2 linked regions of the Arabidopsis thaliana genome follow. The protein of the gene in region 2 purifies or fractionates together with the protein of the main gene of each other region. This does not show direct contact. Each region holds a gene or a part of one and is shown on either strand. Other genes may lie near its edges.

The links. Proteins that work in one complex are often made in the same cells at the same time.
Region 1: the proteins of SBPASE (region 2) and PRK fractionate together in Arabidopsis thaliana (co-fractionation; one large-scale study listed by BioGRID). This does not show direct contact.

Annotation. Positions count from the first base shown.
Region 1 is NC_003070.9:11,530,529-11,535,145, forward strand, and holds PRK (phosphoribulokinase), read left to right. Parts: upstream 1-1,670; 5' UTR 1,671-2,139; coding exon 2,140-2,663; intron 2,664-2,931; coding exon 2,932-3,016; intron 3,017-3,116; coding exon 3,117-3,201; intron 3,202-3,281; coding exon 3,282-3,526; intron 3,527-3,629; coding exon 3,630-3,878; 3' UTR 3,879-4,111; downstream 4,112-4,617. Other genes in the region: SCAMP5 (SCAMP family protein), read left to right, coding at 116-164, 247-312, 414-446; NSI (nuclear shuttle interacting), read right to left, coding at 4,323-4,399, 4,497-4,590.
Region 2 is NC_003074.8:20,707,476-20,712,189, reverse strand, and holds SBPASE (sedoheptulose-bisphosphatase), read right to left. Parts: upstream 2,897-4,714; 5' UTR 2,551-2,896; coding exon 2,437-2,550; intron 2,348-2,436; coding exon 2,222-2,347; intron 2,131-2,221; coding exon 1,945-2,130; intron 1,854-1,944; coding exon 1,772-1,853; intron 1,682-1,771; coding exon 1,460-1,681; intron 1,385-1,459; coding exon 1,284-1,384; intron 1,205-1,283; coding exon 1,133-1,204; intron 1,048-1,132; coding exon 769-1,047; 3' UTR 550-768; downstream 1-549. Other genes in the region: AT3G55810 (Pyruvate kinase family protein), read left to right, coding at 1-485; AT3G55790 (uncharacterized protein), read right to left, coding at 3,599-3,910.

The DNA.
Region 1 (4,617 bases), on a different chromosome or scaffold from region 2:
AAATAATGAGGATTATGACTACAAGTAGAAGTGAGAATCTAGCTGTGATTCACCTCTGTATGTTTTGTTGCCTTGAGATTAACTTAAAAACCCTTTCTCTTATTTCGATCAACAGGGGTGTGCTTGCAGCAATTGATGTCATCTCAGACAGTTTATTAGCTGGGGTATGAGCTATACACCTATTTTACATTTCATGACGACGCCTATAATATATTCAATGTGTCTAACCCTAATGAATGATGGCAGATCTTCTACTTTATCGGATTCGGTCTCTTCTGCTTGGAGTCACTGCTGAGTCTATGGGTTCTTCAGGTAAGCCTCTGATCATACTTTTCATGGCTTCTTCAAAACTGTTGACGTTGATGAAACCAGTAAACATTTGATTGATCTGGTTTCCCATTTTGGCTTTGCAGAAAATTTACCTCTACTTTAGGGGAAACAAGTGAAAAGGAGATAAAGAGGAAGATGATGGTAATTTTCCCTTACGATATAAGGTCTGAAATATGTGTATCTCCTATGAATGTAATTACCATTTTACCGTTTGATGCGTTGTGTTGATTGAGGTAAATTCTTTAGTTACTATAGTAGCAAGAGAGAGTGGTTGTTCGGCCATTTCTTTATGTTTTTTACTCTGTTCTTCTCTGGTCTGTAATATACCAATATCGTCTCTTAGCTTTTGGGATTTTTTTTCGGCGAAGTGGATGGACTATTTAGACAAAAAAAAATCATAGCTATGAATTATTAGTAGCGACTCTCTTCGGTCTGAATCTTAGAATCTGGTCCTTCTGATTATCATTGCGTATAACAAAGTATAGATGTTTCGATATGGCCGTGAACTTTATGAATTTTTTTTTTTGCAAACACCATGACTCGAGAGAGATAAAACTTCGTTAAATTCTTCTGTTGAGCAAAATAAGAACTTTTTTTCATTTGCAAACTCCATGAGTCAAAACTCAAAAGAGATTAAAGTAATTTTTTTGGAAAGATTTAATGTGAGTCCATAGTTTTTACTTTTTAACCTAACAAATTCTCTGACCCGTTATAGTTTCATGCTTGACATGGAAGTTGTATGGTGGTTGGTGGAGACTACGTTCAATGTGTCCAAGAATAAGCAACTAGTGCCGACTCTATCGCGGTCGATAAATAAACCATGGTTTTGTTTTTTTAATCCCGATGTAATCTCTTTTACTAATTACCCTACGGTGAAATTCATGAGTAATAAACTTCTGGTATCTGTTCACAAAAAAAAAAAAAAAAAAAAAACTCTTGGTGTCTTTATTAATTGGTAGGCTTGAAGCCCATTGTTAAGGTAACGCAAGAAGGCTTTGATCCCTATAGAAAAAAATAAAAGCATAAAAAGGTAAGTTGTTCAAAGACCATAAAGATTCGAAGCCAAGGGGGGATATACGGTGACGTGTAAATGTGACCCACATAATACTCTCTCCTTCATCTTCAGACCTTAAACACCTAATCCCCATCTGTCCAATTAGAATCTCCCACGTGTCAATTCAAATATCCAAATCCCAAAAAAATAAGCAAATAACCACCAAGCAACGTCTCCCTCCATGCCCTGTTAGTTTTATCACTTCATCGGCAACTCCACTCCTCTCCCAAACTCTATTCTCCAAATTATCTTTTAGCCAAAAAAATCAAACAAAATTACCATAAGTTTATTACTTCATGAAGTAAATAAGATATGATCTTTGGTTTTTTAATGGCTATAAATGTTTTCTTATCCTCTTATCTTATCAACAACATCTTAACATAGAGACTAATCAACATTACAAACAATTTTACTTCAAGAAACCAAAACATGAGCCAATCATCACACAACCACATTAAACCAAAACAAAACAAAATAAAACTCCTTTTCTTCTCTGCAAATTGCCATCTGTTTTTCCTATAGACCCATTGTCCTCCTCTCATTTCTCTCTTTCCCCATTTAATCTTATTTTCAAAAAAAAAAAAAATCACATCTCTATATCACCACACAAAAAACCATAAAATCAAAAATCGTTACCCACATTTCTTTCATTCTATCCTAAATCCTCATCACTCAACCTGAGCTCACAAAGCTAAACAAAAAAAAAAGAGCTTAGGCGGAGAAGAAGAGGAGACCAAAACACCAAACAAACAACAATGGCTGTCTCAACTATCTACTCAACACAAGCTCTCAATTCAACTCATTTCTTAACCTCTTCTTCCTCCTCCAAACAAGTCTTCCTCTACCGTCGTCAACCACAAACCAACCGTAGATTCAACACACTCATCACTTGCGCACAAGAAACCATCGTGATCGGACTAGCTGCTGACTCTGGCTGCGGCAAAAGTACCTTTATGCGGAGGCTCACCAGCGTCTTTGGTGGCGCTGCTAAGCCACCAAAAGGCGGGAACCCTGATTCCAACACACTCATCAGCGACACGACCACTGTGATCTGTCTTGATGATTACCATTCTTTGGATAGGTACGGTAGGAAAGAGCAGAAAGTCACCGCTTTGGACCCACGCGCCAATGACTTTGATCTCATGTATGAGCAAGTCAAAGCTCTTAAGAATGGTATAGCCGTCGAGAAACCGATTTATAACCATGTCACTGGACTTCTTGACCCTCCGGAGCTTATTCAGCCTCCTAAGATTCTTGTCATCGAAGGTCTTCACCCAATGTAAGCTACACATACTCTGTTATGATACTCTGTTTTGTATCTTAGACATACTCAAATTTTAGAGTTTGGAAGTCTCTTATCTTGTCGGAATTTCGATGATTAAGAATCTGGACTTAGATTTATACTAGAATCAGTATCAGAATAATTAAAGATGGATCTTTGAATCTATGCATGTAGTGTGTGACACCGATTAATTTTTATTCGAATAATTAAGTCTATAGTTTTGGTACTTGTAATGTTTTATAATAATATTTATCTACTTGTGAAGGTTTGATGAGCGAGTAAGAGACTTACTAGACTTCAGTATCTACTTGGACATTAGCAACGAAGTCAAATTCGCTTGGAAAATTCAGGTGAATTTCTTTGAATAATTCAACTACATTTACACCATTTTGTGGAACGTTTTCGGTTTATCTTATAAAACTGAATCTGTAACGTTTTTGATGGTCACAGAGGGACATGGCTGAAAGAGGTCACAGTTTGGAGAGCATCAAAGCGAGTATCGAAGCCCGAAAGCCCGACTTCGATGCATTCATCGGTAACACTCCTAATTTCTTGATGTAACCCCGTGTCATATTCGGCTTGATCAGTTTATAATATTTTCAATGGCTTATACAGACCCGCAAAAGCAGTACGCGGATGCGGTCATAGAAGTGCTTCCTACGACTCTGATCCCAGATGACAACGAAGGGAAAGTGTTGAGAGTGAGATTGATAATGAAGGAAGGTGTTAAGTACTTCAGCCCGGTTTACCTGTTCGATGAAGGTTCAACCATCTCGTGGATTCCTTGCGGCCGCAAACTCACTTGCTCGTACCCTGGCATCAAGTTCAACTACGAACCTGACTCCTACTTCGACCATGAGGTACATTCATATTGCATAATGACATATTGTGAGAAATGAATGAAAATGCATGTGTATGAGAATTTAGACTCATTGCATATATCTCCCTTTTTGTTTCTCTCAGGTATCAGTTTTGGAGATGGATGGACAATTTGATAGACTGGACGAGCTGATTTACGTGGAAAGTCACTTGAGCAACCTCTCGACCAAATTCTACGGAGAAGTCACTCAACAAATGCTCAAACATGCTGATTTCCCGGGTAGCAACAACGGTACTGGTCTTTTCCAAACCATTGTTGGATTGAAGATCAGAGATCTCTATGAGCAGCTCATTGCCAACAAAGCCACTGCTCGTGCAGAAGCTAAAGCCTAAAACAAACGAAGCGAAGCCAAATAGAACGCGTCGATAAATACATCCGCAGTTTCTTCTTTTTCTTATTTCTTTCTTTCTTTATGCGTTGTTTACCGCGGATTTTCATGGCGAAAAGGACGGTCTTGCTTGTTTGTAATTTGTGTGGAGATAAAAAGAAAAAGCCTGTAATGTAGAGAAGTGAATAGCAGAGCAATAACAGTTCAGTTTATAGAACGCCTTCAAAATTTGTTCTTTACAGCATCAAAGTAGATTCAAACCACAAATCAACTAAGCAAAAGAAAGAACAGTTTTATCCTATTGATCATACTCATGTTGAATACTTGAATGTCAAATAGCTTTTGGATTACAAATTACACAGTTCAAACTTCCTTATAGATTCCATATAAGAAAGCAAAGAAATTATACATACAAGTAACAATCCCATTTTCTTGCAATCACCAAGTACTACTTTGGGTACCAAAACATGCCTTTGATGCCTTCTGGATCAGCCTCAAACCCCAAGTTCTGATAGAAATCCACAACTACAAAAAAGGAACACAGATTCAACAACTAAGTAAGAACAAATCCAAATATTTTGACCACAAAAATTGCAGATTAAACAGTGATTCGATGTTTTACCTTGACTATCTGCAAACAGAGATATGTTACCAATATCTCTTTGAAGAAGAGCCCTTACAAGTTTTTCAACAAGAGCTTTACCTAGCCCTTGACCCTGAAACGTGAAAACAAACACAAACAC
Region 2 (4,714 bases):
AAGCAGAGGATTTCATCGATTACGACATTCTCCACAAGAAAACCCTAGGAATGCTTTCGTTACCGTTATCTCCGATCGAGAGCTTAGCTGCTTCAGTTGTTTCGACGGCACAGAGTGTTTTTGCGTCGGCTATCGTCGTTCTCACCAAAGGCGGTTACACGGCGGAGCTTGTGGCTAAATACAGGCCGAGCGTTCCGATTTTGTCGGTGATTGTGCCTGAGATTGCTCAAGGGAATGATATAGAGATGTCGTGCTCGGACTCGGTGGCTCATGTGGCGAGACGTGGTTTGATTTACCGTGGGATTATTCCGGTGGTGGCGACGGGATCATCGGCTAGGGATTCAAACAAAGATGCAACGGAGGAGATGATTAATTTGGCTATCGGATTCGCGAAGACGAAGGGAATTTGCAAGAATGGAGATTCGATTGTGGCGTTGCACAAGATTGATGGTTCCTCTGTTGTGAAGATAGTGAGCGTTGAGTAATCAAGTTTTATTTCGGTTTAAGTTTTTTCGGTTCAATAATAATAAGTCATGGAACTTTAATTTCGGCTTAAACATTGTTTTTGATCATATGATAATAAAGTTTCAGACAGATTTCATTATTTGTTTTTAGTTGTTAAAATTTTGATTAACACCAAACCAAACTAATAATTTTTAAAAAAAACTTGTATCACAAGTTTTGTTGCTTCTCTTATAAACCAAGGGAAAAGTAGATTATCCGGTTTATGGAAAAATAAACATGCATTCACTTATTTTGAATGAGTTTCTAAGCGGTAACTCCAATGGGAACATTCTTGAGTCTTGATGTTCCATAAAGGGTTTCTTCGAAGCGGATGATCTCGTTCTTTGAGCCATAAGCAACTTGAGTTCTATCGTCGAGGTTGATGATGGTCTTGTCAAGCACGGACTTGTGTCCATCACTGCTGAATCCACCAGCATTCTCTATGAGCAGGCCAAGAGGAGCCACTTCAAACAACAGCCTCAACTTTGCCTTAGCCGTAGGAGAAGTCACATTTGTGAAGATTCCTTTCTCCTTCACAATAATCTGCCAAAAACCCAAGTTACTACTAAAGTCAAGTTTCCAGTCACAAGTAGAAAAAATCCTGTTATAGTGTTGAAGAAGAACAAACCTGGTTAACATCAGGAACCATTCCTCCGGTGTATCGCAGTGTGTATTTCTCTTTCACGTAGTAATCAATCAGCTGATTTCACAAGAAAAGCATTCAGAGTGAGGATTAGATTTGAGCAAAGATTAAAGTTAGATCGATCCAAAGCAAGAACCTTGCTGTATTCGGAGTTGTCGAATGTGGCTCTTAAGTTTCCTGGTGAGAACATTTTCCCTTCTGCGATCTCTGTTGTCTCCTTTACATGCTGCCATTTCCCTGAGGCAAAATTTTGAGCTTAGTTTAAAAGCTTACCAAAGAAGGAATCTTGATAAAACAGGACTAGACCAAAACCTTCATCAAGAAGCAAGAACTCATGAGTTCCTGGAAAGCCCTTAACAGCCAAAACATAAGTGGTTCGTGGACCGTAGATTCCCATGGCTGCAGCCACTTGATCTCCTCCAGTGATTCCGGTTAACTTGTCTCCAGGCCAAACACCGAATATGGTTCCCACAGTGAAATTTGTATCCACAATGCTTGATCCATCCAATGGATCAAACGCAACACTAAACCCACCTGTCCAAATAAATTTCATATTCTTTCGATAACTATTTTTCGCGCGATTTAAAGAAGCGGAAATGTTAGTTAAGTTTATGTAAAACCAACCTTCCACTGGACCTCCCATGTCTTGAAGCTCAGGTACTTCTTCAGAGCAAGCATACTTGCACACATGCGAGTATTGCAAAGCCTATAAAACCAATACACAAATCAAAACCTAATGAACCATTTTTCTGATACAAAGCTTATGACATAAGTTAATTCAAAATGTAACAAAAAACCTCAAAGAGAAGCTTATCAGCAAGCATATCAACAGCGAGTTGTTCATCACCAAAGGAATTAACACAAGCTGTTCCACCGCAAGAAGCTGTTCTAACTTTAAAAGCTATTGTTCTCAATGCTTCTCCCATACACATCAGCAAAGTTCTCAATCCCTTGTCAGGAGTTGCTTGTGCCAAAAACTCTTCCTATACATTCAAAAGTAAGAAACTTTAACTGAAAGATGGAATCTTCATAATACAGAATTTGAATAAAGATTGAGTCTTTGTGTTACTCAACCAAGCTTTGGCCAATTTCACATTTGGTCACAGTTGAAGCACCATTGCTCTTAGCTTTTGTGGCTTTAAGTTGCGATTTTGGTGCTAATCGTAGTGAATCTCCGAAGATTGAGCTCGATTTTAGACGCTGCTTTTATCAAATTATTACAATTAGTAATCACTAGTACTGAACAAATCCTACACTGAAGATAAGCATAAGTGCAAAGGATAACGAACCTTGAAGCTGGAGGATGTGGAGTAGGAAGGAGGAGAGACCAATGTAGAGGATCGTTGAGAAGAGACACTTGGGGGAAGGATCCCACGTGAGTAGCACGCGATGCTGGTCTCCATTGTTAGAAGCTCGAGGTTTTTTGATCGAAGAAGAAGAGCTTTGAGTAGAGAGAATGGTGAAGACAAAATAATCAAGAACACAAGTGGACTTGGAAGAGATAAAGGCTGTTCACGGTCAGAGTGACACGTGGCAGTAACTGAAGAAGATATGATTAAGCTCTGGTGATGGGCAATTGGGCGAGAGAGAGACCGAGGCAAAGAGATGTGTTGAGAGGCTTTGATTTGCGTTCATTCATTTTTTGTGTGGTTATGAGATTCTATTATCTTCAATTTCAGTTTACATCACCAATGACATACAAACCAAATTATATTTGTGTGGCTATGCAAGTAGAAGTTAACATTACATTTGGTTGTTTATTTTTGTATAAAATATATCTGCCAAAAAAAAAAGATTATATCAAAGACAGGTTTCGATCCTGTGACCTGTGGGTTATGGGCCCATCACGCTTCCGCTGCACCACTTTGATTTTTTGATTTAAATAATAATTTTAAATTTATAAAGATTATTAAATATACATTTTTGGAATGTCATAAGATTCCTCATTAATATCTAAGGAATGACAGGGAATATTATAAGATTTTGTTACATATTTTTCATTTTAGTTTTTGTTAACTTAGAAAAAAAAATCATTTGTTCAGTTTTTGGTTATTGTAAATTGATTTTCATTAGTTTGATTAATGGCTAATAGCTCTCAATAGCCTCTCATACGGCTATAACTTTACCAACATTTATCATAAACCTTTCCACAATGGATTTGAACCAAGAGATCTTTAAATTCAAAACTTTGAGAAAGATCTAGAATCCCTACTAAACACAAAAAAGCTATTTGGTTTACCATAAATAATTTTAGTTTATTACATAATTTTACATATTAAATAAGCATTGACAAATATAACAATAAAATCCACAAACGTCCGTGCAAGACACAGAATAAACCCTAATACACAATACAAAAGGATATGAAAGAAAAAGTGAAACCAATATTACAGCAAATCAAACAGTAACACTGAAAACATAATCAAAATCTATATACAATATTCAGTTATATTACACTAAAAGCCAATAACTTATAAAAACCATGAACAAGAAACTTTGTAGAACATCGCTTCTACATCCGTTACCAAAATCCTCACCACCTCCTCCACCATGACCTCCACCGCCACCACGGCCTCCTCCTCCGCCACCGCGAAGCTCCCGACGCCAAACTGGAAAATTGATCTCAGAAGACGTTTCATGTTTCAGATTGGCTAGTGAGACAGAGGTTACAGTGGTTGAACCAACGACTTGAATATGTGCATGGATCGCTAGTAGTAATAGTAACATCAGAGCGATTGGGGTAATTGATTTGTGTATAACCATTTTTTTTTTCCGTTTATCTTCAAAAAGAACAAGATGTGTTTGTGTTATTCACCTATAGACATCTCTATTTATACGAATTTCATCCCGCCAACGTCTCAATCTTTTACTTTTATTATTACTATTATATTATGATAACTTTCAAGAACTATTCTAGTTTACCTCTGAGAAAAAGAAATGGAAAATGGTCCGGACCGAAGCAAGATGTTGAAGTCAAACTTATCCTTGCATATCCAATCGTTTTATTGAAATGGCAAATTAGAAATAGAAACCACAAATCAAATATACGTCAATCTTCACATATCAGATGTGGATTTTGAAACTTTCTTCATTATGTTTTGAATGAAACTTTCTTCATTGAGTTTCATACGAAATTGTTTTTTTTTTTTCGTATAAATTCAATTTTGTTTGTGTATGTCAAAGGTTGAATACTTGAATCTTTTGTTTTTCCCAAACATTTTAAATTAATACTAATGTTGTTTGGTAAGACGCACAAGTTTCGTGCCTTGACTATTCAATCTAGGTTTTATAATGTTGATCAACTCTTGTAGTAGTGTTGGCTAACGTAACCCAGGAAAAATGTAAAATGCATTCACATTTAACGTATTAGTTGATTTATGGAATTTGGTTTCTATTTGAACTATGTTTAAGGAAGTTCACATTACATACCAGATTTTGTAAGGTTCGTCGAAGATCTTATGGAACTGGTAGTACATACTTATTAATAGAGCAACTAAGGATATTGATTCTCTGACCATTGACGTTGACTTATTATATCTAGTATGGTATAACTAATAGCAGTATAGC